Macaca fascicularis: one gene and its partners. The protein of the gene in region 3 purifies or fractionates together with the protein of the main gene of each other region. This does not show direct contact. Links are inferred from orthologs where the notes say so. Each region holds a gene or a part of one and is shown on either strand. Other genes may lie near its edges. The genes, in order: MRTO4, CDK4 and CEBPA.

Region 1 (9,572 bases), on a different chromosome or scaffold from region 3:
GGTCCCTTTGTGAAGGCGCCCGGGGCTTTGCAGTTGGAGTTCTGTTAAGTGTTTGTGGAACGATTTGATTCTGTGGAGGGGGCCCAGGTCAGGTCTGGCAAATGCAAACTCTCTGGGTAGAGGGCAAATTGGGCCCCAGCCATTTTTACAGTAGAGGTACATATTCCTCCCCAGAGAGGTGTTGCTGCATCTGTGGGTCCAGATTGCAAAACTGGAGTGCAGATACATAACAGGAGATTCAGTCCCCAGTCTCATGGTTGCACAGCATAGGCCAGCTAGAGTGGCCTCTGCATCATGGTCAAGAGCAGCAAGGGGCCGGGTGTGGTGGCTCACACCTATGATTCCAACACTTTCGGAGGCTGAGGTAGGCAGATCTCTTGAGCCCAGGAGTTCAAGACCAACCTGGGCAACATGGCAAAACCCATCTCTGCAAAAATACAAAACTCACCTGGGCATGGTGGTGCATTTCTATGGTCCCAGCCAAAATTAGCAGGCCATGGTGGGGTGTACCTGTCATCCTGTGGGAGGATTGCCTGAGCCCAGGAGCTCAAGGTTGCAGTGCGCCAAGATCGTGCCACTGCATGCCAGCCTGGGTGACAGAGTGAGATCCCATCTCAAAAAAGAAATAAATAGGGGCCTGCCTCAGCCAGCAGGTGAGGTCTGCCACTGAGAGCACTCCCAGCAGCAGGAACAGTCTCCACCCCCACACCGCAGTCAAGTTTTCTGGGTGAGCCTTAGGGGCTAAGAAAGGCTTAGTTTGTCTAAATAGCAGGAGTTATATCCAGAGATCTTCAGGGCCAGGATGCTAATGAGTAGGCATTCCATGGGCCCTGGAAATGGCTTTGTGTGCCAGAAATGATGGCCACGAAGGCCTTGCTGCCTTTTTTCAGAATGGCTGCATCCCACTGAGCTCTCTGCCAAAGGGGAGAAAAAAATAAGTGTCCAATGCATCTAGATTGGTCCCTCATCATCTCTCTCCTTTTTGTTTTTATTAGTCTCCTTAACCAAAACTGCCAAGAAAGGCTTGGAATTGAAACAAAACCTGATAGAAGAGGTAAGAAGTTTTCTTTTTCTAGAGCTTGCAATTGTTTGTTTTATCAAGGTAGGTATAGGACTGTTGGCCAGGGGAGCATACTATTGGAAAAAAAAAAAATCTCCAAGCTGCTAATCCAGCCCTTTTTCCTCCAGCAGCAGCACCAGCAAAAACTTCCATAGTGATGATTTCCAGCTTTGACTAGCTCATACTCTGTGCCCTGTCCTGCACTAAGTGTTTCTTATGTGTCATTCTACTCCATCCTCATAACATCGCTGAGATGTGGGTACTAGGTGATGATGTTGCTGTTTTGCATTTGGGGTCACTGAAGCTTATAGAGGTTTGTTAGCCTGCCCAATGACAAAAAACAGGAGGAGGCCAGGAACGGTGGGCCACGCCTGTAATCCCAGCGTGGGATTACAGTAATCTGGGAGCCCAAGTGGTCAGATAGCTTGAGTTTGAGAGTTCAAGAGCAGCCTGGACAACATGACAAAACCTCATCTCTACAAAAAGAAAAGAAGAAAAAAAAAAAAAAAGCTAGCTGGACATGGCAGTATGCAGCCTGGGCAACAGAGTGAGACCCTGTCTTTAAAAAAAAAAAGCTGGGAACTGGCCGGGCGCGGTGGCTCAAGCCTGTAATCCCAGCACTTTGGGAGGCCGAGACGGGCGGATCACGAGGTCAGGAGATCGAGACCATCCTGGCTAACACAGTGAAACCCCGTCTCTACTAAAAAATACAAAAAACTAGCCGGGCGAGGTGGCGGGCGCCTGTAGTCCCAGCTACTCAGGAAGGCTGAGGCAGGAGAATGGCGTGAACCCGGGAGACGGAGCTTGCAGTGAGCCGAGATCCGGCCACTGCACTCCACCCTGGGCGACAGAGCGAGACTCCGTCTCCAGAAAAAAAAAAAAAAAAAAAGCTGGGAGATTTACCAGGTGTAGGTGACTGCACCAACCCACTGTCTGTACAGCTTCTGACTTGCCAACCTGGGCTGCAGGCTGGATGAAACAGTCTCCTTCTGCACAATGACTCCACTCCTGGAGGCTGCCTCCTGGTGGCTTTGGCCAGCACCACGTGCAGAGCAGTGCCGATCAGCTGCCTCCCCTTATAACAGTGAGGCTCCATATGCTTCCACGTAGCAGGACCCTTCGTAGTGTGGGTGAATGTTTCTAGGTTAACCGTTGATGGTCAGTTCCACTGTTGGTCATAGATAAGTGAGAAACCTGGAAAAGGCCGTGGGGTATAGATCCATGGCTCAGCCTCCCCTGTAGTTAGGGATCCTAATTTCAGTAATAGAGGTAGGAGACAACCCAATTAGAGGCCTCCAGTTCTTCCAGTTTCCATAGTTGTCAGGGGCCCAGAGCAGATTCATTCTCATCTGAGGCCAGAGTAGTGCCCATTGTATGCTGCTGCTTGAACTCAGAGCCTGGTGAATTGTCCCACAGCTTCGGAAATGTGTGGACACCTACAAGTACCTTTTCATCTTCTCTGTGGCCAACATGAGGAACAGCAAGCTGAAGGACATCCGGAACGCCTGGAAGCACAGCCGGTGAGCGGGCAGGGGGAAGAAGGCCCTTCTGAGTGGGGACCCGGCCAGGCTGCTCTCAGTCAAAGTATAGGAGCAATTTCTGACCCTTTAGGTGCCTGGGTCATGCCACTGACACCTTAATAATGACAAAGTGCTACCTGCCACTGAAGAGCACTTCCTTTTCACTGTTACAGCTGGTCTTGGGCCGGGTGCGGTGGCTCACACCTGTAATCCTAGCACTTCGGGAGGGTGAGGCAGGCAGGTCACCTGAGGTAGGAGTTTGAGACCAGCCTGGCCAACATGGCAAAACCCCTTATCTACTGAAAATACAAAAATTAGCCGGGCATAGTGGCGGGCATCTATAATATAATCCCAGCTACTCGGGAGGATGAGGCAGAAGAATTGCTTGAACTCATGAGGTTCAAGTGAGCTGAGATCGCACATTGCACTCCAGCCTGAGTGACAGAGTGAAACTCCATCTCAAAAAGAAAAAAAGCAGATGTTGCACTGAGCTCCTGGGGGCAGGACTTGGCAATTGAGGTGTTTGAGAGGTGGTCCTTTCCAGAGAAGTGGCCCTTTAACCCTGGACTTTGGGCCATTTAGGAGCATCACACCAGTTTTAGAATGTCAGCATGGGCACTGGGACACAGACAGTCACCTGGGAGCAGGATGCAGGAGCCACATGGGCAGTTTCTGTCCTGGAGCAGGTGGCTCTGGTGTTGGTCTCCTGCCGCCCCAGCTCTGGTTCAGGCTGTTAACGTGCCTCCTGCATACATCCAGATGGAGAACCCGTACATGATGCTCGTGATGGGCTGGGAGACAAAGTGTTGCCATGTCAGGGGTCTGTGGGTGGGAACATAATGAAAAGGACCCCGAAGTGGGGACAGTGTGGCCAGGCAGCATGGAGAAGTGAGTGCCACTGGCTCAGCCTGGGCCTGAGCTCACTGGGGACCAGAGCTGCTTTGCATGTTGCTAAGGGGCGGGGAGGGCAGGGCACTTCCTTCACAGAACGCTCTTTCTCTTGCTTGGTAGGATGTTCTTTGGCAAAAACAAGGTAATGATGGTGGCCTTGGGTCGAAGCCCATCTGATGAGTACAAAGACAACCTGCACCAGGTAAATCTCTGGTTTTCACGGGGTGGGGCTGAAGCAGAGCCGCCTTCTCTCCCACTACTCCCACGTGATAGCCTCCCCTAGCCGTCGGCTGGCCCGTGGCTCAGGGAGAGCAGGGCCTGGCTTAAAGCTCCGGGTTCTCCCTTCACCTCCGGACCCAGGGAATAGCACCCTTCCTGCCTCCCACTCCTTCCTGCTGTGACCACCAGAAACATCTTTAAACGTTGCCAAATGTCCCCTGGTGAGCAAAAACGTGCCTAGTAGAGAACCACTGCTCTAATGTGACCAAGCTGGCCTCACTCTTGATTTGTAGGTCAGCAAAAGGTTGAGGGGTGAAGTGGGTCTCCTGTTCACCAACTGCACAAAGGAGGAGGTGAATGAGTAAGTACTGCTGAGGAACGGAGAGAAAGAGGCGGGTGAGGGGGATTTCAGGGAGGGGATGATGCAGGGACTTCATTCCATATGCGGCATCAAGTCGGAACTGCTCCTGGAAGCCTGTCACTGAGCTAGTGACCTGGGACCACAGCCCTCTCTGCCCTCTCCAGCATGGTGTGGTGGGCTGACTGCTGGCCAGCAGCCAAGGTCTGTAAAGGCCCAGGGCCACGGGACACTTGGGGGAGCCTGACTCATGGGCTGGTGGTGTGGCCAGGAGCATCCCCTCCTACCGCTTCTTTTTCCCTTAGGTGGTTCACAAAATACACAGAAATGGACTACGCCCGCGCTGGTAACAAAGCAGCATTCACTGTGAGCCTGGACCCGGGGCCCCTGGAGCAGTTCCCCCACTCCATGGAGCCACAGCTTAGGCAGCTGGGCCTGCCCACCACCCTCAAGAGAGGTATGGGCAGCCCTGGAGCCAAAAGCTCACAGCCTAGAGTCCAAGAGCACAAGCCTGCAAGCTCATCCCTTTCTGGCTGAGCAAGTTATTTCTACAAGCCTCCATTTTCTCATGTGAAAATGGGGCTAAGGGGCGGGCGTGGTGGCTCAAGCCTGTAATCCCAGCACTTTGGGAGGCCAAGGCGGGTGGATCACGAGGTCAGGAGATCGAGACTATCCTGGCTAACATGGTGAAACCCCGTCTCTACTAAAAATACAAAAAACTAGCCGGGAGTGGTGGCGGGCGCCTGTAGTCTCAGCTACTTGGGAGGCTGAGGCGGGAGAATGGCATGAACCCGGGAGGCGGAGCTTGCAGTGAGCCGAGATCACGCCACTGCACTCCAGCCTGGGAGACACAGCGAGACTCCGTCTCAAAAAAAAAAAGAAAATGGGGCTAAGAGTGCACGCCTCACAGTTGGGTTCCAGCAGACAGTAACTTATAGTCTTGCAGCTGTTGAGGGACAGGGACATCAGGGGCCTGGTGCCGGTTTAAAAAAAAAAAAAAAAGTCAAAAAATTAGACAGCCATGGTGGTGTGTGCCTGTGGTCCTAGCTACATGGGAGGCTGAGGCAAGAGGATCACTTGAACCCAGGAGGTCAAGGCTGTGGCGAATCAAAGGGACCTCAGGGAGACAGCCACTGCCCAGTGTGTGATGGAGCTGTGGGGAGGGCAGGTGGCTGACTGGATTCCTCCTAACGTGGCAGGGACAGAGAGGGCTCTGCAGGCCTCTGGGCCAGAGGTAACTGAGAGCCACCCTCTTCTGCAGGTGTAGTGACTCTGCTATCCGACTTTGAGGTGTGCAAGGAGGGCGATGTGCTGACCCCAGAGCAGGCTCGCATCCTGGTGAGTCTGGCGCCTTGAGGGCTATTGCAGGAGGGGCCGCTGGCTGGCTTCTGCCTGCTGAAAACGACCCCCTGCACTTTGAATACCTCCATTCCTCCTGATTCTTTGTTCCCTTTGTCTCTTGCAGAAGCTTTTTGGGTATGAGATGGCTGAATTCAAGGTGACCATCAAATACATGTGGGATTCACAGTCGGGAAGGTTCCAGCAGATGGGAGACGACTTGCCAGAGAGCGCATCCGAGTCCGCAGAAGAGTCAGACTCAGAAGACGATGACTGAAAGGGACTCAAAATTAAAGGCCTCCTGGAACCTTCTGGGTCTCACTGGACCATGCAGGACTGCTGCCGCCCCTCTGAAGAGAGCAGCTGTTTATTTGTCTGTAGACAGGGAATGTGATGGGCACTGACCTCCTATAAAGAATAAAACTCTGGGCCGGGCTCAGTGGCTCAAGCCTGTAATCCCAGCACTTTCGGAGGCCGAGACAGGTGGATCACGAGGTCAGGAGACCGAGACCATCCTGGCTAACACGGTGAAACCCCATCTCTACTAAAAAATACAAAAAACTAGCCAGGCGAGGTGGCGGGCACCTGTAGTCCCAGCTACTCTGGAGGCTGAGGCAGGAGAATGGCCTAAACCCGGGAGGCGGAGCTTGCAGTGAGCTGAGATCCGGCCACTGCACTCCAGCCACTGCACTCCAGCCTGGGCTACAGAGCGAGATTCCGTCTCAAAAAAAAAAAAAAAGCTCTGGGCCAGGTGCAGTGGCTCACGCCAGTAATCCCAGCACTTTGGGAGGCCGAGGCGGGCAGACCATAAGGTCAGGAGATAAAGACCATCCTGACACAGTGAAACACAGTGAAACCCTGTCTCTACTACTGTTGCCCAGACTGGTCTGGAACTCCTGTCTTCAATCAGTCCTCCTGCCTTGGCCTCTCAAAGTGCTGAGATTAAAGGTGTGAGCCACTCTTTTTTTTTTTTTTTTTTTTTTTTTTAAATGGCCGAATAATAGTCTGTTGTATGAATATGCCACATTTTCTTTATGCATTCATTCATTGATGGACATTTGGGTTGTTTTTAATTATCAGCTATTATGAGTAATGACACTGTGAAAACTCATTCCCAAGTTTTTTGTGGGGAGATACGTTTTCACTTCTCTTGGCTATATACCCACAAGTGGAACTGCTGAATCCTATGGTAATTTTATGTTTAATCCTTTGAGAAGTTGCCAAACTATTTTCCAAAGTGGTTGTACCATTTCACATTCCCCCCATCAGTGTGTGAATTTTCTCCCGTCTGTCTCTTGCTCACTCTCTTGCCATGTGACATGCTGGCTACGCTTCCCCTCTGCCATGACTGTAAGCTTCCTGAGGCCCTCCCCAAGAGCAGATGCTGGCACCACACCTTCTTGTACAGACTGCAGAACCGTGAGCCAAAGAAACCTCTTTTCTTTGTAAATGACCCAGTCTCAGGTATTCTTTTATAGCAACGGAAACAGACTAACACGCAGCATCCTGGGAGGCTTTATTCTTCGTTTGGTGGTGACTCTACTGTTAAGTTTTTGTCCAAATACTTCCGTCCCTAAGAATTTACTGAGGCAGTTCTAAATTACAAAAAGCATGAGAGAGCAAAAGAGGTGACAGAAGAGCCTTGGGCAGCCTGAGCCACGATGGGCCTAGATGAAGTAGTTGGGACATTCGGGGGCAAACAAATGCCAGGCTTGATTAAAGGCATCCACGACAGCTGGCTCCAGGGGCCCTTCCTCTGCCGCTGCCAAGTTCTGCTCCAGCTGCTCCAGGCTGGACATGCCCAGGATGACCGCGTCCCCGTGGGCACCCTGAAAGGGAGACAGCCAGACTTCAACCTTCTTCTGCTACACAGCGACTTCACTCACAACCCTCCCAGTCACGACCCTACCGAGATTTGGGCTCTTTTATATCCCATATGTCCAGAAAGAACTTAAGGTGCCTTGGATAGCTGTACCCATGTCACTCAAAACCTGTATTATTTCCCCTACTACCACATGACGCTTCCAGACACACCTACATTCACAGCCCAGTTCTGCCCCCCAGCAGCCGTGTAAAGGTGACTAAGTTATTAAAACCTCTCTGACACTCAATCCTCTATTTTCAACATAATTATGTGTATGAAAAAGTAATGTAGAGCACTTAGCTCCTATTTATTGAGCACCTACTATATATGTGCCAGACACTATTGCAACATCTAAGGCTGGAGTTGGAGAAAAATTTGAAAGAGGAAGACATGAGGCACTGAGAGGGAAATTCCAGCTCCCACCAAAAGGATGAGATTAGTGGGCTTTACAGTTAAACCTGTGTTAAAATGTATTCCCCTTTCATAGCTGGGTGAAACTCAGTTTCCTCATCAATAACACTGGGACAGTCATTTCATAAAGCCAAAGGAATAATGAAATCCCTGCAGCAAAGCCCTCATTACAAAGCCTGGTACTCAGATACCATCAGAGACCGATGGGAAGGCGGAGCACAGTGGCTCACGCCTGTCATCCCAGCACTTTCAGAGGCTGAGGAGGGTGAATTGTCTGAGCTCAGGAGTTCGAGACCAGACTAGGCAGCTTGACGAAACTCAGTCTCTACTATAAATACAAACAATTAGCTGGGCACGGTGGTGCACGCCTGTAATCCCAGCTACTCAGGAGGCTGGGGGAGGAGAATTGCTTGAGTCTGGGAGGCAGAAGTTGCAGTGACCTGAGATCATGCCACTGCACTCCAGCTAGGGTAACAGAGCGAGACTCTGTATCAAAAAAAAAAAAAAAAAAACAGTGGGAAGAGTTTTATGAGACTTAGAAGAATGAAATTTCAGAGGAATCGAGAAAACAAATGCTTTGGGCTTCACCTAAATGCTGGTCCCCCTGGAAGGGAAGGAGCTGAGGGCCCAGGGTCGCTGGTTACCTGCAGCTGTGAGTGGTGGTACATCCACCGGAGGGCGGCTGAGGTCGTGCTGGGGGTGCCGGCGCCATATGCAGCCTGCAAGGCCTTCTCTACCAGGGCAATCCCCTCGAAGTGGTTCTCCTTCCAGAAGCTGGAAAGGGGGGACGGTGGCACAGGGGTCAGTACCATGGGGGTCATACTGGGAGCCACAACCAAAAAGGGTCATCCAGGGCCACTGGCCCACCCCACACCCTGCAGCCCTGAGGGGAGGGTGTCCTTTCTGGTCATAGGTCTCCCACTTTGCTGGGCATCAGAACCACCCAAGATGCCGGCCCTCTCAACAGAGACCTCAACCAATCTTTATTCCTGAGAACTCATCACCCTGCTCTTATTTTCCCCTAGGGACACAAAGGCCGCTGAGACGGGGCAGGACTCAGCCCGAGGCCTCCTGGACCTCCCTCCAGGGCGCCTTCTTTCCTTCCTAGCAGGTGAGTGCTCAGGAAAGAGCTACAACTTCAAGACCCTGAGGTCCAGGGAGCCTCATTTTCTACTGGAGGTCCCCAGACAACAAGAAAACCCCCGTAGGGTTTGGAAATTCCTGAAGGGATGCAGGGGAGTAGGTGCAGCAGCGAGGAAAGGCCTTACCCCAGGAGCAGCCAGGACTTCATTCCACATAAAGCCGACCCCACCCCAGCCATCCACACCAAGCACCCCCAGCTCACCGATTCCTGTAGATCTCTGCCCACTGATGCCCAAAGAAGCGGCCCACGGGCTGTTTCCCGTCCTTGTCTTCATACTTGTACTTGCCAGTCAGCAGGCCCCCTGCGGGAAGGCAGCGATCAGCCCAAGGACCTAGAGTGCCCCAGAAGCTGCCACATCCCTCAGGGCTCTGGTCTAGGGGAGGGGCGGGGACCCAGGAGGGCTGAAGGACGCAGCCCAGCCCCTTGTCAAACCCTCCCTGCTTCCCAGGTCCTGGGCTGGGCATCTGTGGGTCGGGAATAGGCTGAGTCAGGGTCAGGAATGCTCCACGTACCAGCCAGAGGGTTGTAGGCATAGAACCTCAGTCCAAAGTGCCTGAGGCAGGGGAAGAGCTCTGTTTCCACTTGCCGGGTGGTGGCGCTGTACATGCCCTGCAGGGAGAGGGACCCCGGAGAGAGAGTGGATGTGTCAAAAGAAGGGACCTCAAATTTACCCTTATAGAGCCCTTATTTCAGACCTTATCAATTCTAGGACTTTAACCATCTGGGCATTTACTTACTCTTATGGTGCTGGTGAAAGGGGCTTATGC
Region 2 (10,331 bases), on a different chromosome or scaffold from region 3:
TACTCCCATACCCTCAAAGGGCTAGGACATGAAGACCTTGGAGCCAATAAAACAAAGAAAGTAGGAGAAATCTACCTACGTCTACCTCGGTGTCTGTGGGCAGAGGCCATTTGGGAAAAAGTGTGTTCTGGACACCGCTAAGTGCTAAGAAAGAGGCACTAGGGAAAAAGAGGGAAGCACAATGACTCCAAATGAGCAGTCACAAGGTTTACAGAAGGAGACATGTCATTTTCATTCATTGTGGTGGTCTGGAGGGTGCAGGGGGTGTGGTGGTAACTTTCTTGCACATGTACACTCCTGTATCCATCTTATATATTACATGTAATAAATAATATATACATACATATATACATAGAAGTATATATACACATATAAAAATATCACATAATCATAGAACCGTCCTACTGGGGAAAAAAAAAACTTAAAGGTCAAGTATTCCTGTCTCCTGCTCATTAATAACTTCTCTGCCAGATGGCCTCAGGTCTTTGCATTAACACTCCCAGGGAGATTTGGAAGTTGAGAAAAGAGGGGGCATTACCTTGTCACTGAACCTGTTGGATTACTGTATTAATCTGCCTTCTGTCCGTCCTTTAATCGTAGTTTTGCCCTCAAATGGGCATTGTTTACTCCCTATTTTAGAAGACCCCATTGTTGGCTACATCTTTCTAGATAGTCGTACCACTACTTTAAAGGGCCAGTGACAGACACCAGAAACAAAACAAAATAAAAACCCACATACACACTGGAAGCAAGCACTCAGTAAAATGTTGTAGAATTAATGAATGAATCAATGACACAAATGAGAGTATGTTTTATCATGGTGGAGCGAAAAGGTGACAGCATCACCTCTGGTACCCCAACTCCCATTCCCTCCCCAATGTAGACAGGCTGAAAGACCGGTAGTGAGACTGGAGTTCAGCCTTCAGACCGGTAGTGAGACAATCCTTCAGCCGGGAGTTGGGCTCTGGGTGGCCTAGGTTGCCATGGCACCGCCTCGGGCTCCACCCTCTCTTGTCCCCTTACCGCGCCCCCCCGCGGCGGGGGTTGTGGCAGCCAGTCATGTGCCCGCCGCGTAACCACACCTCTGCTCCTCAGAGCAATGTCAAGCGGTCACGTGTGATAGCAACAGATCACGTGGCTACCATCGCCCCTCCGCCCCCTTACACTCTTCGCCCTCCTCCCCGTCAAAGCGGCTCCTGGCCACCCCTCCGCGCATGGGTGGCAGTCACGTGCCCAGAACGTCCGGCGTTCGCCCCGCCCTCCCAGTTTCCGCGCGCCTCTTTGGCAGCTGGTCACATGGTGAGGGTGGGGGTGAGGGGGCCTCTCTAGCTTGCGGCCTGTGTCTATGGTCGGGCCCTCTGCGTCCAGCTGCCCCGGACCGAGCTTGGGTGTATGGGGCCGTAGGAACCAGCTCCGGGGCCCCGATAACGGGCCGCCCCCGCAGCACCCCGGCCTGGCGTGAGGTAAGTGCAGTCCCTTCCCGGGAATGAGAACCAGTGCCCGCCCCCCTCACAGTTTTCCACGCGTTCGTTTCTCGAGCTGGTTATGGAGGGGTCGCTCAAGGGCGGGAAGTGGGGCCTTTGTGGTCATGGGAAAGTATAATTTTAGGGACTGAGGTGTAGGATCTTTGATGCAAGGCATGTGTCATGTGTGATCTTTGTGCAGGGCGCGATTGTCCCAAAGGAAAATGCGTTTTTTATTGCAGGGCCTCACGTGGCTGGAGGGGTTGGTATTGAGTCATTGTGTTATCTCTGGGGCCGGCCCCAAGGAAGGCTGCGAGCGGGGGATGGGATGCTAGTGTTGCTCTTTGTGCTTTTTTTTGGGAGTCCTTTTGTTGCTGCAGGCTCATACCATGCTAATTCTGTAAGGGACTTTTGGTGATAGGAGTCTGTGATTGTAGGGTCGCCCTTGATCTGAGAATGGCTACCTCTCGATATGAGCCAGTGGCTGAAATTGGTGTCGGTGCCTATGGGACAGTGTACAAGGCCCGTGATCCCCACAGTGGCCACTTTGTGGCCCTCAAGAGTGTGAGAGTCCCCAATGGAGGAGGAGCTGGAGGAGGCCTTCCCATCAGCACAGTTCGGGAGGTGGCCTTACTGAGGCGACTGGAGGCTTTTGAACATCCCAATGTAGTCCGGTGAGAAGGTGGTGACGAGGGGAGTGGGGAGTAAAGGGAAAAGACAGCCTATAGGTGGGGTGTGGTGATCTGTAGAGAAGTGGGGACCCTGAGGAAATAATGAGAGGCCATGTTGGGTTAAAGGGGATTGAAAAGTGAGCATTTACTCTGGCCAGGCTGATGGACGTCTGTGCCACATCCCGAACTGACCGGGAGATCAAGGTAACCCTGGTGTTTGAGCATGTAGACCAAGACCTAAGGACGTATCTGGACAAAGCACCCCCACCAGGCTTGCCAGCCGAGACCATCAAGGTGAGTGGGCTTGGTAGGCATTGAGAGGTGGATTGGGACCTTTGTAGTAAAACCTCCTGGGATTTCAGGTATGGTGCCTAGTTTCCAGTGCATCTGTACCTCCCCCTTCTAAACTAGGATTTGATGCGCCAGTTTCTAAGAGGCCTAGATTTCCTTCATGCAAATTGCATCGTTCACCGAGATCTGAAGCCAGAGAACATTCTGGTGACAAGTGGTGGAACAGTCAAGCTGGCTGACTTTGGCCTGGCCAGAATCTACAGCTACCAGATGGCACTTACACCCGTGGTCAGTAGAAAGATGGTACCAAAATGGGTTCTGGTTGGGAGTAGGAGAGTGATTGCCTGTAGCAATTGAGAAGTCATGTGCTTCATGTGTTCAGTCAAGCAAGTTGTGTTTTGTGGTAACCCATGGAGTCCCCATCCATTCTTCCTATTCTCTTTAGGTTGTTACACTCTGGTACCGAGCTCCCGAAGTTCTTCTGCAGTCCACATATGCAACACCTGTGGACATGTGGAGTGTTGGCTGTATCTTTGCAGAGATGTTTCGTCGAAAGTATGGGACCCACATACCCTGGACCACCTTGAATTCCCCAAATTGCTTGTTCATAAACCACGTCCACACCCTGCCCATTCTTTCTTTTTCTTTTTCTTTTTCTTTTTTTTTTTTTTTTTTGAGACCAGGGCTTGCTTTGTTGCTCAGGCTGGATTGCAATGGCATGATCACAGCTCACTGCAGTGTCAACCTCCTGGGCTCAAGTGATCCTCCCATCTCAGCCTCCCAAGTAGCTGACACTCCATGCCCAGCTAGTTTTTTAATATTTCTGTAGAGGGGGGGGGTCTCAGTATATTGCCCAGGCTGGTCTTGAACTCTTGTACTCAAGCAGTCCTCCCACCGCTATCTCCCAAAGTGCTGGGATTACAAGCGTGAACTACTGGACCTGGCCCCATTCTTTTACTTGCATACTACTGACTACTTTGCCCATAGCAGAAAGCTCTGAAATGCTCTAGAATTAGGAACTTCATATCCCTTTATTCTCTTTTATTTATTTATTTATTTTTGCAATAAGGTTTCACTCTGTCACCCAGGCTGGAGTGCAATGGCCCAATTACAGCTCACTGTAGCCTCTATCTCCTGGGCTCAAGCAATTCTCCCGTCTCAGCCTCCTGAGTAGCAGAAACTATAGGTGCATGCCACCATGACTGGCTTTTTTTTTTTTTTTTGAGACGGAGTCTCGCCTTGTCGCCAGGCTGGAGTGCAGTGGTGCGATCTCAGCTCACTGCAACCTCCGCCTCCCAGGTTCAAGTGATTCTCCTGACTCAGCCTCCCAAGTAGCTGGGACTACAGGTGCGTGCCACCACGTCCAGCTAATTTTTGTATTTTTAGTAGAGACGGGGTTTCACCATGTTGGCCAGGATGGTCTCAATCTCTTGACCTCATGATCCGCCTGCCTCAGCCTCCTAACGTGCTGGGATTACAGGCGTGAGCCACTGTGCCCAGCAATTTTTTTTTTTTTTTTTTTTTAAGAGACAAGGTCTTGCTTGCCCAGGCTGATCTGGAACTCCTGGGCTCAAGCAGTCCTCTCACCTCAGCATCCCAAAGTGCTGGAATTATCGACCTTTATTCCCTGTGCTTTCTATTTTGGGCCACTAAGCAGTAACCATTCAACTAAGATATCTTTGAAAATGACTGCTACCTTATGTCCCTTCTCACCTTAGGCCTCTCTTCTGTGGAAACTCTGAAGCTGACCAGTTGGGCAAAATCTTTGAGTAAGTGACCAACGGGGGAGAAAAAGATTTTCTATTCTCAGTCCTCTTTCTGCTAAGCCCAGGATGGCAACTGGCTCTGCCCATGGGGATGGGAACTGGAGGACCCTCCTGACCAGAGTTCTCCTGTCCCCCACAGCCTGATTGGGCTGCCTCCAGAGGATGACTGGCCTCGAGATGTATCCCTGCCCCGTGGAGCCTTTCCCCCCAGAGGGCCCCGCCCAGTGCAGTCGGTGGTACCTGAGATGGAGGAGTCGGGAGCACAGCTGCTGCTGGTACTGGAGATGGCTGTGGGCATAGGGAGAGACTGGGGAAAGAAATAGAGCAGTGTGCAGGGCCCTGGCCACTGTGGTTAATGAAACTTGGTTGGTAGATGGGCTGTAGTTTTTATTACAGCTGCAGATGGCCACCCACAGAGAGGGATGTGGAAGAGAACCCATCCTGGCTGGGCGTGGTGGCTCACGCCTGTAATCCCAGCACTTTGGGAGGCCAAGGTGGGCAGATCACCTGAAGTCAGAAGTTGGGAGACCAGCCTGGCCAACGTGTTGAAACCTTGTCTCTACTAAAAATGCAAAAATAAGCCGGGCGTGGTGGTGCACGCCTGTAATCCCAGCTACTTGGGAGGCTGAGGCAGGAGAATCACTTGAACTCTGGAGGCAGAGGTTGCAGTGAGCTGAGATCATACCATTGCACTCCAGCCTGGGCAACAGAGCAAGACTCTGTCTCAAAAAAAAAAAAAGAAAGAAAAGAAGAGAGCTCATCCCAGGTATTGTCATGGGTGGGTAGAAGTCTCTCTCAGTTTTCTTCATGGTTTTCTGACCTTTGGCTCTCCCCTCAGGAAATGCTGACTTTTAACCCACACAAGCGAATCTCTGCCTTTCGAGCTCTGCAGCACTCTTATCTACATAAGGATGAAGGTAATCCGGAGTGAGCAATGGAGTGGCTGCCATGGAAGGAAGAAAAGCTGCCATTTCCCTTCTGGACACTGAGAGGGCAATCTTTGCCTTTATCTCTGAAGCTGTGGAGGCTCCTCCTCCATCTTTCTACAGAGATTACTTTGCTGCCTTAACATTTCCCTCCTACCTCTCCTTTTGAGGCTTCTCCTTCTCCTGCCCCACTATTTCTCTACACTAAGGGGTATGTTCCCACTTGTCCCTCTCCCTACCTTTATATTTGGGGTCCTTTTTTATACAGGAAAAACAAAACAAAGAAATAATGGTCTTTTTTTTTTTTTTTTAATGTTTCTTCCTCTGTTTGGCTTTGCCATTGTGCGATTTGGAATAACCACTTGGAAGAAGGGACTTTCCTGCAAAACCTTAAAGACTGGTTAAGTTACAGGGCCTAGCAAGTCAGTGGAGCCCCTTGACTGACAAAGCTTAGAAAGGAACAGAAATTGCTTCTTTGAATATGGATTTTAGGGCGGGGCACGGTGGCTCACACCTATAATCTCAGCACTTTGGGAGGCCAACGCGGGTGGATCACCTGAGGTCAGGAGTTCGAGACCAGCCTGACTAACATGGTGAAACCCTGTCTCTACTAAAAATACAAAATTAGCCGGGCGTGGTGGCGCACACCTGTAATCCCAGCTACTTGGGAGATTGAGGCAGGAGAATCGCTTGAACGCGGGAGGCAGAGGTTGCAGTGAGCTGAGATCATGCCATTGCACTCCAGCCTGGGCAACAGAGCAAGACTCAATGTCAAAAAAAAAATATATATATATATAGATTTTTAAATGGCTTTTTTATATTCACTGAACTTTCTCAAACTGGGTCCTGCTTATTACAGGAAAGAGCTCTTGGTGGTTTTCTCCTTGGCTCTGTCCCTGATTTACCCTTAGAGCCACACCCCAGAGTATGTTGAGGTGATCCAGCATATGGACGGAGGAGGGGAAACAGCTAAGAATGACTCCAGCCTATCCTATGTACCCTCAGAAGCTTCCCATATCCTCTTGGAGAGAGAGGGAGAAAGTTTTTCCTTTTATTCCTTATAGTCTGGCTCCCACTAAAATATGTCAAGCCATAAAGTCTTGCTATTCCATCAATTTTAGAGGATTTGACAAGGGGCCTTTCCTTTTTCTCAAACCAAAATGGTTACAGACCCTAGATATTCCCTAAGGGAGGAAGAGAAAGCTTAGAGCAGAAGAGAAGTCAGAAGGATCCAAAGTCTCATAGAAAGGCACTGGGGTTGGCTCTAGGATCCTTCTGATTCCGAAATCTCATTGCTAGCCAAACACCAAGGATCTGTAGGAACAAAGGGAGAGAGAAGCATCAATCAATTCTCAGTCTCAAGTTGAAAAGGATGTGCGTGAGGAAACTGGAGAATGTACCTCTGTAAAGCTAAAGAAGAGTCCAACACCCCCTAGGATTTTCAGGGCTTCATCTGAATGCTTAAGAAACTTTTCTCCACACATCTGGCATGTGGGGCTCTGGTTCTTGCAGATCTGAGGATAAAACGTGTGTGTGAAGAATGCAAAGTTGCTAATGTAAAGTTGCTAGTCACCAATACCTATGCCGAATGTCTCTAGAAACTTTCCTGTTATCTGACCAGCGTCCTACAAACTAAAATCCGACTTGGCTAATTCCCCAGCCTCTTTATCCACCCCCACCCCCCACCAATACACAGCCCCAATACAAGAGGGCTTCTCGAGAAACAATGACATTCGAACTAAATTTGCCAACTTGGGCATTGTCCTTACCCAGTTTCCTACCTCCCCTGCCTGCTGCACCACCCCCAACACACTCACTGCAGTGCAGAAATCATAATCTTGTTGGTACAGGGTTGTGAGGTTGAATAAGCCACAACAATCAAAACTTCTTTCCAGTTCATCCCGAGTCTTGTTGCTCATGACCCACCAAGAAGCATTGATGACATCTGTCTGGAGGATATGGGCAGAGAGAAATTAAGTCTCCCTACATCCCAGTATCAGTTCAAGTGCCTCAATTTCCCTAGTCCAGCAAAAGAAGTCAACCAGAAGCATAATGGTGTGCCACAATTATAGACACAATACATATCTACCTTTTCAGGTTCTCTAGATCATCCTCATGAAAAATTAACCAGACATTCCAGAGGAAGCAAATAGCCCAAGGGGCCAGAAGCAGTGCACCTAAGGATGATCTTTGGGTAGCTGGGGCCAGACTAAGGAAGGAGTTTGAGGTTAAGAGGAAAATTTTAAAAAGCAAGTAAGTACTTGAAAGGGTACTGTCTTACCTGTTTGCTTCGGTTAATAGCCAGACATGAGCAAGAGATTACAAATTGGAAGATGAAGACCAAACCAAGGATGATCATGTACTGAGAGGAAAGGTTATGGAAAAAAGTCCTAGATTCCTTTATGTTCCATCTATAACTGGTCTCATCTGTTCATAGAACTTATACCACCATGTCAAATTGAAAGCAATAAAATCAGCTCTTGTTTCGTAGATTATGGGACAGGGCAGGGCAAGGAGACATGTCCAAAATCCCTGAGGTCCCCTACCCTTTTAACATCTTCCATAGATGACAGCCCTCCCAAGAGCCCAGTTGCCCCCATCACTTCAGGTTAGGATACAAAGAACAGCAGGACTTGGTGGTGGTTGACAGCACCCACCAGTCCAGCCACTGCGATAAGGAGAAGGAAGACTCCCACAGCAATGACTCCGCCGATGATGTGGATGCTGGACACCAGACCCAGGCCCTTGCCCCAAGCAGCCACTCCAATGAGCAACAAGCTCACCAGCTACAAAGAAAGCAGGATACATCTCAAAAATTCTAGCATGAGCACGGCCCAAGGCCATTACAAGAGGACTTGGGGGCGGGGGTGGGGAAGGAATAATAGAATGGTGTGTGAATGGGAGGGAGGGGGGTGGGCGGGGCGGGGGTGGTGCTATCGCCACCAGGAGCATCCCTGGGCATTCCCAAAGGTTAGAATGGCTGGGATGGGGTATAGGGGGTGGCAGGGATAGTACTATGAATACAAAAGCTGAACCCTCAGGATCATCCTATCACTTCTACTTTGGGAGAAACTGAGGTTCAAAGGAGGGAGGGATGGAACTTATGCCCACGGCCTTAAGTTCATTCCCCCACCCCCAGACAAACCCCTTCATCAACCGGTAGTCTTCCCTCTCCCACGGAAGTCCCCAGGAATTCCCTCTTCGCCGGAAGTTCCTGGGAATCTTCCCGGAACCCCTATACACCCCTTTCCCCAACGGAAGTACCCTGGAGATTCTCCCCACGGGGCCTTTCCGCCCGAAAGCTTCCCCCACCTCCAAAACCTCACCATGTAGACCACGTTGAGAGCGCAAAGCGCATTCTTGGAGCAGGCAAAGCCGCCGCAAACCATCTCCCCAGCTCTGAGGACCCAAGTGGTCCCAAGGACTTGGGGGGAGGGTATTGGGGACCGTCTTCCAGGACCCCGACAGCTTCTGTCTCTTTAAATCGAGGCCAGCCAAACCCAATTCTCTGCGCCTGCACCGTCCCTCCCCTGCCTCTGGATTGGCGAAATGCGTGGCTAATCCTGGACGTCCAAGGCCTGCATGCCAATCAGCCCGCATTACGTCACTGACCCGCCTTCTGTCCTCCTCCTCTTGTTTTTTCATTGGGCGAAACTGAAAACTAGGGGCAGGGCTTCTAGAGATTCTCTCAGGGACAACAGTCTAAACTCCAAAAGCTTGAGTTGAAAGCTGAGCTTTCTGTGGTCGGAGTTAGGAGAGGGCTAATTCGAGGGAGACGGCTCTGGAGGAATTTAGGTGAAGGGGACACGGCGGGAGGGGCAGGTGGGGGGCCGCTCCGAGAGCTGGGCAGAAAGGGCTCCACCGGTAGAAGGAGGGCCCTTCCGCCCTCCCTTCCCCCTGTGCTGCAGTGACTTCATGATGACGCCATTGTTTTGTTAATGCGTCACGCTCGGGAACACCCAAAGGAGCCACATATTGAGCTTATTTAGCCCGGCCACAGAGTCCGCGGATTGGACACAGCAACACCCAGCAAATCATCATACGTTTGTGTGTCCGCCAGTACCCATGTCCTCTACCATATACCCTCCTAAAAGGGGTGTGAATATACCAGAAATTCAGTGTGGAAATAGCGGCCTCAGGCCAGCGCATTCCTGTGTGTGGCATTGCCACAAGTGCACACACGGGTGTGCTCAGCATTTTCAGAGTACACGCCTGATCCAGGGCTTGCAAAAAATGACAGGCAAGAGGAAGAGTCTTGGATATAAATAAATATAAGGGGAAGGAGTCTCCACCTTTTCACTTACGGGTGGACTGATCAGTAACTTTATTATCTAGTAAGTGCTTTGACAAACCGTCCTTTTCACGGGGGTAGGGAAAGGCATAATCCTTCTCTCCCCAGGAGAAAGAAACAGTAGGAACAAAAAAGAAAACCCTCTAATCAACTCAACAGAATGATTTATGTTTGTGTGTACTTAAGATTCTATAGTCTACTGCCACAGTCAGATTGCCACTTGGATTGCCACTTCTAGCTGTGTAACCTTTGGCCAGGCGCTTAGAAACTGTCTGTGCCTGTTTCCTCATCTGTAAAATGGGGATAAATAACAACACACCTACCTCTTGGGTTGTGAGAATTAAATGAGTTAATATATGTAGAATACTTAGAAGAGTACCTGGCACATAGTAAACACTCAATGTTAATTATTACTTTTCAGGTCATTTTACAGGTTCCTGTGGGCAATTCCAACCTTAATTCCCTTATCTGTAACTACACGGTATTGATATAAACTTTCAGAAATTAATATCAAAAAGGTATGCAGAAGACATATTTGACAGGGCCAGAGAGGTGTTTGGGTCTTGAAACAAGGTAATGTATTATTATTATTATTATTATTATTATTATTATTATTATTTTGAGACAGAGTCTTCCTTTGTAGTCCAGGATGGAGTGCAGTGGCACGATCTCAGTTCACTGCAACCTCCACCTCCCGGGTTCACACAATTCTCCTGCCTGGCTCAGCCTCCCGAGTACCTGGAATTACAGCTGCCCACCACCACACCCAGCTTTTTTTTTGTATTTTTAGTAGAGACAGGGTTTTGCCATGTTGGCCAGGATGGTGGCAAACTCTTGACCGTAGGTGATCTGCCTGCCTGGGCCTCCCAAAGTGCTAGGATTACAGGCGTCCAGTGTAAACAAAGTAATTAAGTCAAACTACC
Region 3 (10,407 bases):
TCCCCAGCTAATTTCCTGCTTTAGGGCTTGGGCAGGACACTTCTACCTAGTGCCCTAGATACCCCTTGTCCTTTGAGCACCCAGCCGGGCCTAGCCAGAGACCTACCACTTGCCCTCAAAACCATTTCCTCCTCATCCCAAGGTACACTCTTAGGCTTCCAAGGAAAAACCAGAACACGGTAGATGGATCTTAGCAACTGCTCCAAGGTCCTCTCCTCCAAAACCACAAAGCAGGCAGGTGAGTATCCTGGAATGAGTCCCCAATTGCCTCCTGGGGGCTTGGAGAGGGGCCTCCAATTTCCTGGGCATTACATATGTCAGGGGGTAGTAATCCCAGCCAGAAGCCTGGCATTCAGCCCCCCAAGTCCTGACATCTTGTTCAAATCTACCCTGCCTGCTCCATACTGGGGCCTCAAGTCTCCATCCTTCCCATCTGGTCAACACCCCCTCTCTGTCTTGGCCGGAGTAGCTTCTCAGGAACCCAAATTGGACGATGAAGCTCCCCTGCTAAAAACTGGAGGTCAAAAGCCTGGGAGATAAGGGTTCCTCCTTCACCTGCAGTGGCCTTGGCCATCAGCCCAGCCCGGTCTGTGGATCCAGCCTTATCTAGGCCCCTCCTCCCTCACCCCACTCTCCAGCCTGCCAAACATCTCGTCCTTTGTTACCAGAACACATGCACTCACAGGCTCTCCACCTTTGCACTTACCATTCCCTCCTCGTAGAAGAGCCTTCCCTCCTTATCCTTCCAGCAAATTCCTGCTCAACCTTCAAGGCCCAGCTCAAAGGTCTGCTCCTGCATGAAGCCCTGTCTCACCCCCCGGTTCAGTCCACACAGGCTGCCATCATAGGCCTACCATAAACATTTATTTCTCACGGTTCTGGAGGCTGGATGCCCAAGGCCAAGGCCAAGTTGCCAGCACCGTCAGGTTCTGCCGAGGGGCCTCTTCCCCTCTTGCAGACAGCCACCTCCTTTCTGTGCGCGCCCATGACATTGTTCTTCTGATAAGGCCACCAATCCTATCAAATTAGGACCCTACCCATATGACATCATCTCACTTTAATGACTTCCTAAAAGCCTTATCTCCAAATACAGTCACATGGAGGGGGTTAGGCCTTCAACATAGGAATTTAGGGCAGGGACACAGTTCAGTCCATAACACCTCCCCAGACAAATCTGATCTCTGCCTCCTCCACAGCGCCACCTTGTTCAGGGCGGGAAGTCTCTTCATCATAGCACATCCACCCTTGATTCCCATTTGTGCCTCCTGTGCATTTGATGAATGAATGAAGTCCCATCCCCTACTCCTTCTGTCTCCTCCTTCCTCCCAGCAGCCTCTGTGTGACAACTTATGAGTCTCTCCCACTGTCCCAGTTCCCAGAGGCACAAGCCACCTTCTCACGCATCACTGGGCTCTTGGCACCCTGCACAGGGCAGGCTCGGGTGGGCGAATTCTGGTTCAATTGTAGGAGGACCTGTGGCCCCTAGGGTTGGAGACCCCCAGGCCGGGAGCCCCACTCCTTGCCACTGTCGCCCCCACACATTCATCAGCCCGCTATTGGACCAAGTCTTATTCCCATTACTGAGGTTTCTTCCAGTCCTACCCAGCAGAGTTCCCGATCTCCGGGCAGGCAACAGCAGCTGTGCAAAAAAGGCCAGACATCGCCTTCGTCCCACAACTCCACAGGCCGGGAACCGTGCATGTATAGAGGCGTTTCTTTGTTCCTAGCTAGGAAAAGCCATTAGTTTTAGCACTGCAGAAAAACATGCAAATCGCTCTGGGTGTTTTTTGATTTCCGTCCAGGTCTCCCTCCACAGGTGGATGGTATATGAATGGGTCCTGCATTTGGCTCAACAAGCAGCTCTTCGGCTCACATCGGGTTATTTATTTAACGTATCTGGTTTTTACTCCCTCCCGTCCAAAAGCGTCAAGCTAAAAATATCTTGTTTATGAGCTCTGGACCGAAAACGAAGCAGTTGGGCTATTAATCACTGGGACTATGTTGAATAGGAACTTGATTAAAGCGCAGTGTGCATTGCCCAGAAGAAACCGCTTCTTTACTGCGATCGTCGTGGAAGCTCAGGGCTCTCCAGCGGTGTTTTTAGCTGCGCCCCCTCAGGGGCTCCTGGGCGGGTCGTGGCGCCTTGCCAGGTCTTCAAGAAGGCCACAGGTCCTCCTACAGCTGAAGGGGGTCTTCCCTCACCTGGAGGCAAGCGCGCCTCTAGCCAGGACCCAGACTGCGTCAGGCCTCAGAGCCAGTGGCGAAAGGCGGCGCAGGCAGGGGCAGGAGACACTTGAGGGCCCCCAAGACCCCATCTGGGCCCAGCTGACAGTCCGCAGCCCCCACCCCGGCCGCGGTAAAGAATGCGAGGGACGCACGTGGCCGGGGGTCTCGGTAGCAAGCTCCTTCCCCCGCCGCGGTGAAAGCGTTAGCGTGCCACACTCAAGGGGCCCCAGGGCCCAGCCGCCTCGGTCCCCAGGATCCCGGGGATCACAGCGCCCAGCGAACTACCGGGCAGAGTTCTTCCTGTGGGTGCTCGGACCTGGCGGCCCCGGCGGCCTGGACACCCTCGCTCCGGCCGTTGGCGCCCACCTGAATGGGGGGTGGGGGGAGGAAGCGGTGGCTTCGGGCCTCGCGGACTGCGGCCCCCGCCTCGGGATCCCGGCCCCAGAGTCAAGTTTGTCTCCTCCCTCGGTGCGCCCCTCCCCATGGTCGCCCCGGCGTCCAGCTCGGCTATTCCCGGAGCCCGCCGGTCCCTCAGGAAAAAAAATCGGCGACTCCACGCTGGGTAACAACGCCTGTCCCGCGCGCCTAGCAAGTCGCGCGCTCCGGCCTGGAGAAGTAATTATAAAGAAAGTTTTCCAGCCCGGGCGGATCCACCGGCCAGGTCCTTCAGGCTCCCGGGCCGAGGCCGCCTCCGCTCCCCGCGGGGTCCTAGCGCCCCGCGCGGCGCCGCCCGTGGGATTCCACCGTCCTCCGAGAGGTGCCTCTGCGCGGAATCACAGGGGTAGCCTGGAGATCAGAGCTAGGAGACGCAGAGCCACCGCGCTCCGGGTCTCTCCGCGCGTCCCAAACGGCCCCCCACCGGCCCCTGCCCGCCCCGCCGCTCTGCGCCGCAGCCTCCCCGGGACGCGGGTCCCGGACAGGCCTGGTTCTGGCTTTGAAAGAGAGTCCGAGCCACAGCAGCTCAAGACCAAGACTCCCCTCCGCCACCCACCCCTACCCCATGCAGCCTCGGGATACTCCTGGGCTCCCAGCCGTGGCAGAATGTGGGTGCCTAGGGGAGGCGGGAGGAGGGGGCCCCCGCCACCAACCACGAGGGCGCAGGGGCGACAGCTGGGCCGGGGGCGGAGCTTGGAGCGAGCGCCGCGGCTCTGCTGGTCGCGCAGGAGGCGGTGGGCGTTGCGCCGCGGCCTGCCTGAGGAGCGCAGCCCTGGGCCCCGCTTGTTCGCCGCTCCATCCCGGCCGCGCGCTAGGACCCAGCGGGCGCCGCGCCGCCGCCGCCCGGGGACAGAGGCCGCCTCGGACTCTAGGGGGCGACGCGGCCGCGGGGTATAAAAGCTGGGCCGGCGCGGGCCGGGCCATTCGCGACCCGGAGCTGCGCGGGCGCGGGCGAGTCGGGTCTCCGGGTGGGCGGCGGCGACGCCCCGCGCAGGCTGGAGGCCGCCGAGGCTCGCCATGCCGGGAGAACTCTAGCTCCCCCATGGAGTCGGCCGACTTCTACGAGGCGGAGCCGCGGCCCCCGATGAGCAGCCACCTGCAGAGTCCCCCGCACGCGCCCAGCAGCGCCGCCTTCGGCTTTCCCCGCGGCGCGGGCCCCGCGCAGCCTCCCGCCCCACCTGCCGCCCCGGAGCCGCTGGGCGGCATCTGCGAGCACGAGACGTCCATCGACATCAGCGCCTACATCGACCCGGCCGCCTTCAACGACGAGTTCCTGGCCGACCTGTTCCAGCACAGCCGGCAGCAGGAGAAGGCCAAGGCGGCCGCGGGCCCCGCGGGCGGCGGCGGCGGCGGCGGCGGCGACTTTGACTACCCGGGCGCGCCCGCGGGCCCCGGGGGCGCCGTCATGCCCGGGGGAGCGCACGGGCCCCCGCCCGGCTACGGCTGCGCGGCCGCCGGCTACCTGGACGGCAGGCTGGAGCCCCTGTACGAGCGCGTCGGGGCGCCGGCGCTGCGGCCGCTGGTGATCAAGCAGGAGCCCCGCGAGGAGGATGAAGCCAAGCAGCTGGCGCTGGCCGGCCTCTTCCCTTACCAGCCGCCGCCGCCGCCGCCGCCCTCACACCCGCACCCGCCGCCAGCGCACCTGGCCGCCCCGCACCTGCAGTTCCAGATAGCGCACTGCGGCCAGACCACCATGCACCTGCAGCCCGGTCACCCTACGCCGCCACCCACGCCCGTGCCCAGCCCGCACCCCGCGCCCGCGCTCGGCGCCGCCGGCCTGCCGGGCCCCGGCGGCGCGCTCAAGGGGCTGGGCGCCGCGCACCCCGACCTCCGCGCGAGTGGCGGCGGCGGCACGGGCAAGGCCAAGAAGTCGGTGGACAAGAACAGCAACGAGTACCGGGTGCGGCGCGAGCGCAACAACATCGCGGTGCGCAAGAGCCGCGACAAGGCCAAGCAGCGCAACGTGGAGACGCAGCAGAAGGTGCTGGAGCTGACCAGTGACAATGACCGCCTGCGCAAGCGGGTGGAACAGCTGAGCCGCGAACTGGACACGCTGCGGGGCATCTTCCGCCAGCTGCCAGAGAGCTCCTTGGTCAAGGCCATGGGCAACTGCGCGTGAGGCGCGCGGCTGAGGGACCGCCCTGGGCCAGCCTCCGGCGGGGACCCAGGGGTGGTTTGGGGTCGCCGGATCTCGAGGCTTGCCCGAGCCATGCGAGCCAGGACTAGGAGATTCCGGTGCCTCCCGAAAGCCTGGCCTGCTCCGCGTGTCCCCTCCCTTCTTCTGCGCCGGACTTGGTGCGTCTGAGATGAGGGGGCCAGGCGGTGACTTCTCCCTGCAAGGAGGGGAGAATTCTTGGGGCTGAGCTGGGAGCCCGGCAACTTTAGTATTAAGGATAACCTTGTGCCTTGGAAATGCAAACTCACCGCTCCGATGCCTACCGAGTAGGGGGAGCAAATCGTGCCTTGTCATTTTATTTGGAGGTTTCCTGCCTCCTTCCCGAGGCTGCAGCAGGCCCCCATGAGAGGAGGAGGGGAGCAGGCCCGTGGCAGGAGGAGGGCTCAGGGAGCTGAGATCCCGACAAGCCAACCGGCCCCAGCCGCTCCTCCGCGCCTGTCCTTAGAAATGGGGGGAAACATAGGGACTTGGGGCTTGAAACCTAAGGTTGTTCCCCTAGTTCTACATGAAGGTGAAGGGTCTAGTTCCACGCCTCTCCCACCTCCCTCCGCACACACCCCACCCCAGCCTGCTATAGGCTGGGCTTTCCCTTGGGGCGGAACTCACTGAGATGGGAGTCACCAGGTGACCAGTGGGAGCCCCCACCACGAGTTAGACCAGAAAGCTAGGTCGTGAGTCAGCTCTGAGGATGTATACCCCTGGTGGGAGATGGAGACCTAGAGATCTGGCCGTGGGCGGGCTTGGGGGGTGAAGGGCCACTGGGACCCTCAGCCTTGTTTGTACTGTATGCCTTCAGCATTGCCTAGGAACACGAAGCACGATCAGTCCATCCCAGAGGGACCGGAGTTATGACAAGCTTTCCAAATATTTTGCTTTATCAGCCGATATCAACACTTGTATCTGGCCTCTGTGCCCCAGCAGTGCCTTGTGCAATGTGAATGTGCGCGTCTCTGCTAAACCACCATTTTATTTGGTTTTTGTTTTGTTTTGGTTTTGCTCGGATACTTGCCAAAATGAGACTCTCCATCGGCAGCTGGGGGAAGGGTCTGAGACTCTCTTTCCTTTTGGTTTTGGGATTACTTTTGATCCTGGGGGACCAATGAGGTGAGGGGAGTTCTCCTTTGCCCTCAGCTTTCCCCGGCCCCTCCGGCCTGGGCTGCCCACAAGGCTTGTCCCCCAGAGGCCCTGGCTCCTGGTCGGGAAGGGAGGTGGCCTCTCGCCAACACATCACTGGGGCTGGGAGCAGGGAAAGACGGCTTGGTTCTCTTCTTTTGGGGAGAACGTAGAGTCTCACCGTAGATGTTTTATGTATTATATCTATAATATAAACATATCGAAAGTCAATGTCCGTGTCTTTTTAAAACCAGAAAGAAGCTACTTCCAAGGTTGTCTGTGGGCCAGGCCACATTTGTAAATAATACAGCATTTTCCCTGGCGGCAATCCTGACTTTCATGAGCTCTCCATCCACCCCCAGCCCCTCTTTACCCTAAGGGGGTGACTTACTTCCCCCAGGCAACACAAATAAATAGCAGAGGACAAGGCTCCAAACGGAGAGTGTCCAGAGCCTGAAGGCAGTCTCGGGGTCAGGAGAGGGGGCCTTCGAAGAGGTTAGGGGGCTGAGGCTTTGGCAAGGTCTTATCTGCCCCTGGGAGGAGGAGAGGGAGTCCTCTGCATGAGGGGCAGGCCCGGCTCAGCAGGCCTAGGCTCAAGGAGCCCTTTGTCCAGACTTCCTTCCAAATCACCTACAGCTCCAGCCCCGGCAGCCTCACTCACACCCACCGCAGCTCCAGCTTCCACCAGGATCCTCAGCCAGCAGGAATAGGCCTCCAGTGGTAGGACCCTCCAACCCTCTGCTCTTTCCCTAGACCATGTGGCTATACCCTACCCCTTCGAGGCCCAAAGGCAGCCTGAAGAGAAAGACCCCTCCATCCAGCCCTCCACACCTGCCCAGCCCCAGCTCTCACAGGAAAGGGGGCTGAGGCAGGCCTGCAACAGGGGTCTGGTCCTGCCCCACACACTGGCTATTCAAGAACCGCCCCAGCATCCACACTCCCCACTGCATTCATCCTGTACCCAGCAGGGGCCTGAGTGCTGGCGTGCCCCCAACTCCAATGAGCACCCTGTAAGCTCAGGCACTCCAGCACCCTCTTAGCAGCAGTGACAGCTAAACAAGGGAGGGCAGCCCTTATCCCTGAACTAACAAGGCCCGGGAGGAAGAGGCCCAGGAGGCTAATGGTGCTTTTCAAATTTTATCCTCTTGGAGGGTAAAAGATAAATTGCGCTTTTTTTTTTTTTTTTTAAACTCTGCACCGAGAGAAGGTTCACTGAGTGGCTTACTGTGTGTGCCAATGCGGGCTGGGGCATTTTCGAGAAATTACACATTCCTTTTACACTCTGGAAGTTCAGCTTTACCTGCTTGCGTGGTTAGCTGGCACCCCTTCCGGCCCCCTGCTCTGTCCTGTGTCTGGCCGCCTCCTCACCCACGGCCGCCCTTGGCAGAGGAGAGGCCACGAGCCCAGTGAGGAGGCGGCGCCTGCCCTGCCACCCTGGGAACAGAGGAGGCAGAGCCCCACCGCGTGCCCAGAGGCCTGGGGCAGGCCACAGCTTGCTGAGCCCCAGCAAACCCTCTGAGTTCAGTGCTAATTCCAGTTTTTCTTGTTTGAGGGGGCTGATCCCTGGCTTCCCCCTTTCCCCCCAGAACAGGTCCTAGGACGGGAGGGGGTGGGGCGACCCTCCTGTCCTCACTCCTTCCCCTCCTCTCTGCTGTGCCAGCCCACTAGGGGTTTCCTCTTTCAAAGCTGTCGGCTCCGGAAGGGATCTCTCCTACCCCGAGTCCTCCTGGTCCTGAGTTCCAGGGTGGGCTTTGTTAGGGACAAGACGGATCCAATCCCATCCAGCCCCAGGAAAGGGATGAGGAGGGCGAGGTCTCCAGGGTGGGCCAAAGTAGAGGGGAGGAGGGCCCTTTGGGCAGCATGGGGTGAACTTGCCCAGCACGTACCCCGTGCCCAGCCGTAGGGGCCTCCTGGGAACAGAGTCGCCCTTTGCCGCCCACCGCTTCCTGCAGGGTTCCTCACAGTTCCCCTCCTGACTGCGGCCTTCAGGAAGAACCACTCCAAGAGCCCAGCACTGAACACACCTCAAGTACTTATCGGATGTCTACTGTATGCCAGGGCCTGCACCAAAGATGGGGCGCTGGGCTGGGAACAAGCAGACTCTGCTCTGGCTCTCAGGGAGCTCACACCCTTGAGGCCCCAAGCTGTGGTTTAAGGGTGCCAAGTGCAACGAAGGGGAGCTCAGAGTGTGAACGGGGTCCACAAGGGAGGGCTTTCTGGAGGCAGCAGCTTTGATGAAACACCTAGGGAGGGTGGCCTCCTTCTGGCCACCTGGATGCGTCTGGATGCTTCTCCTTTGCCCTGATCTCCCCTTGACAGGTAGCACCAGACTGCAGGGACCTCGCCCCCCCCCCCTTGCTGTGCCACTCCTGAGCCCTCTGTCCCATGACAGCGCTGTTCAGGGTTAGCTGGCCTTCAAGGAAAGGGCAAGGGTAGAAGGGAGGGAGGCATCTCCTCTGCTGCCAGATGCTTCCTGATGGCTTAGTGCTGTCACGGATATTACTCTTATCTCCTGGATCTCCTGGGAATCTGTAAACGTGGGGTTTGGCCCTGACACCTGCGATGAGCCACTGGGCCTGGTGAGGAGTGTCTGCCCCTCCCAGCTCTCCCACCCGCTCCTTCCCAGACAGGAACCTGCCAGGCCTCCTCCAGGAGCTGCTGGTCTCACAGGAGGGGAAGGGGCCCCTCATGGGGAAGGTCAAGGGAGAGCAGAAACCCCCGACTTTGTTTAGCTGAGAGGGGCCTCCAAGGCACCCACAGGCCTTCTCCAGCCATGGGGCAGAGTCCTTGCCTAGATGGTGTTGATATTCCAGCTGTTTCTTTCCTATACTAGTGAGGATGGGAAGGCTTTTCTGTTCTTTTTTTTTTTTTTTTTTTTTAGAGACAGGGTCTCACTCTGTCACCCAGGATGGTGTACAGTGGTGCAGTCACCACTCCCGCAACCTCAAACTCCTGAACTCACACAATCCTCCTGCCTCAGCCTCCTACTCAGCCTTTAAGTAGCTGCTGGGATTAATTTTATTTTTTTGTAGAGATAGGGGTCTCACTGTGTTTCCCAGGCTGGTTCAGAATTCCCGGCCTCAAGCAATCTTCCCTCCTCAGCCTCCCGAAGTGCTGGGATTACAGGCATGAGCCACCCTGCCCGGCCTCTTTTTCCTTTCTTTAGATAAAATTAACCCACCAGCACCTTTGAAAGCTTTCTTGATTCTGTGAAAGACTCTTGCTATCTCTTCTCTCTCGACAGCCCCACCTCTCCCCCTCCCCCACGCCCCTCTCTGCGGATGGAGCGTTTGACGTAAGCTGAGGCCCAGGAAAGATATCGATTCACTATCAAAGCATCCTAGCCCCATCCCAGAGCAATTAAAAAGCCAGATGGAATCTCTGGGAAAACGGCATTAATAACATGAACAATCTGTGTTGGCCGGGGGGAACCCAGGAGCCCCAGGCAGGGGTGGGGCTGTGGAGGGAGGGAAGCTGGGGTGCCTAAGTGGAAGCTCGCAGCAACGTCTCCGCCCTGTTGTGACGGCCGGCTATGGGGCCGCTGCAAGGATATGCTAGGTCCAGCTGCAGCTGGGCTGTCCCCTCCAGCCCTTGCAAGGCCCACAGTGCACCCTGGATCCTGGTGGCTGCAGACCGAGCCAGACAAATGTGGAACCCATTACTCAGACAGCTGCAGCCCTGGCCAGCCCCATTCTGGCACCCAAGAGCTTTGCTTCCCTTCGGTTTGTTTTTATTTATTATTTTTCTAGCCTTCTGGCCCCACCCACTAGGAACAGGCCTCTCCGGGTTTGGCTGGCATAGACACCCTTTCTCTCCATTTGCTGTGCCCACATCCGCTGCCTGTGCTCGACAATAGCAGAAGACAGTGTTGGGGAACCCCAGTGGGCCTGAACCCCAGAAACTCCCCTTAGAATGCAAAGGCTGGGTACAGTGGCTCATACCTGTAATTCTAGCACTTTGAGAGACTGAGGTGGGAGGATTGCTTGAGTCCAGGAGTTCAAGACCAGTCTGGGCAACATAGTGAGACCCTGTGTCTCCAAAAATATTATGCAAGTGTGGTGGCACATGTTTGTAGTCTCAGCTACTCGGGGGGCTGAAGAGGGAGGATCGGTTGAGCATAGAAGTTGGAGGCTGCAGTGAGCTATGATCACACCACGGCACTCCAGCCTGGACAACAGAGCAAGACCCTGTCTCAAAAGTAAGAAGAAAACTGAATGCAAAGTGGTAGATACCTCGGGCAAGATCAGCTGAGCTCTCGAAAGCCAGCATGATTGCTGGGGCAGCGGGGCACAGGGTTCACACTGCCTGGCTGCCTCGAGGGGCCCCGAAGAGGCTGGACCAGGGTGACAGGCAAAGAATCCTCTACGAATTCAAAGCCTTTTCTAGGCAGAATCAAGAAGTGAGACTTTTCTATAGCAGTCCCGTTTTTCAGACTTGTCTGCAGGCTTGCCCGACTT

The links.
Region 1: the proteins of CEBPA (region 3) and MRTO4 purify together in Homo sapiens (affinity purification with mass spectrometry; 3 studies listed by BioGRID and IntAct, with this or other methods). This does not show direct contact. The link is inferred for Macaca fascicularis from reciprocal best matches to the Homo sapiens genes CEBPA and MRTO4.
Region 2: the proteins of CEBPA (region 3) and CDK4 purify together in Homo sapiens (affinity purification with western blotting; 3 studies listed by BioGRID, with this or other methods). This does not show direct contact. The link is inferred for Macaca fascicularis from reciprocal best matches to the Homo sapiens genes CEBPA and CDK4.

Annotation. Positions count from the first base shown.
Region 1 is NC_088375.1:215,824,677-215,834,248, reverse strand, and holds the end of MRTO4 (mRNA turnover protein 4 homolog), read left to right. Parts: intron 1-995; coding exon 996-1,054; intron 1,055-2,476; coding exon 2,477-2,580; intron 2,581-3,591; coding exon 3,592-3,673; intron 3,674-3,983; coding exon 3,984-4,051; intron 4,052-4,353; coding exon 4,354-4,505; intron 4,506-5,309; coding exon 5,310-5,386; intron 5,387-5,513; coding exon 5,514-5,663; 3' UTR 5,664-6,836; downstream 6,837-9,572. Other genes in the region: aflatoxin B1 aldehyde reductase member 4, read right to left, coding at 7,054-7,215, 8,306-8,435, 9,007-9,106, 9,318-9,414. UniProt on the Homo sapiens protein: Component of the ribosome assembly machinery. Nuclear paralog of the ribosomal protein P0, it binds pre-60S subunits at an early stage of assembly in the nucleolus, and is replaced by P0 in cytoplasmic pre-60S subunits and mature 80S ribosomes.
Region 2 is NC_088385.1:64,562,192-64,572,522, reverse strand, and holds CDK4 (cyclin-dependent kinase 4), read left to right. Parts: upstream 1-1,339; 5' UTR 1,340-1,463; intron 1,464-1,900; 5' UTR 1,901-1,919; coding exon 1,920-2,137; intron 2,138-2,292; coding exon 2,293-2,428; intron 2,429-2,545; coding exon 2,546-2,713; intron 2,714-2,870; coding exon 2,871-2,980; intron 2,981-4,143; coding exon 4,144-4,194; intron 4,195-4,330; coding exon 4,331-4,466; intron 4,467-5,029; coding exon 5,030-5,122; 3' UTR 5,123-5,404; downstream 5,405-10,331. Other genes in the region: TSPAN31 (tetraspanin-31), read right to left, coding at 6,357-6,431, 6,518-6,631, 6,935-7,066, 7,399-7,479, 7,736-7,903, 8,444-8,506.
Region 3 is NC_088393.1:40,579,311-40,589,717, reverse strand, and holds CEBPA (CCAAT/enhancer-binding protein alpha), read left to right. Parts: upstream 1-3,583; 5' UTR 3,584-3,703; coding exon 3,704-4,780; 3' UTR 4,781-6,181; downstream 6,182-10,407. UniProt on the Homo sapiens protein: Transcription factor that coordinates proliferation arrest and the differentiation of myeloid progenitors, adipocytes, hepatocytes, and cells of the lung and the placenta.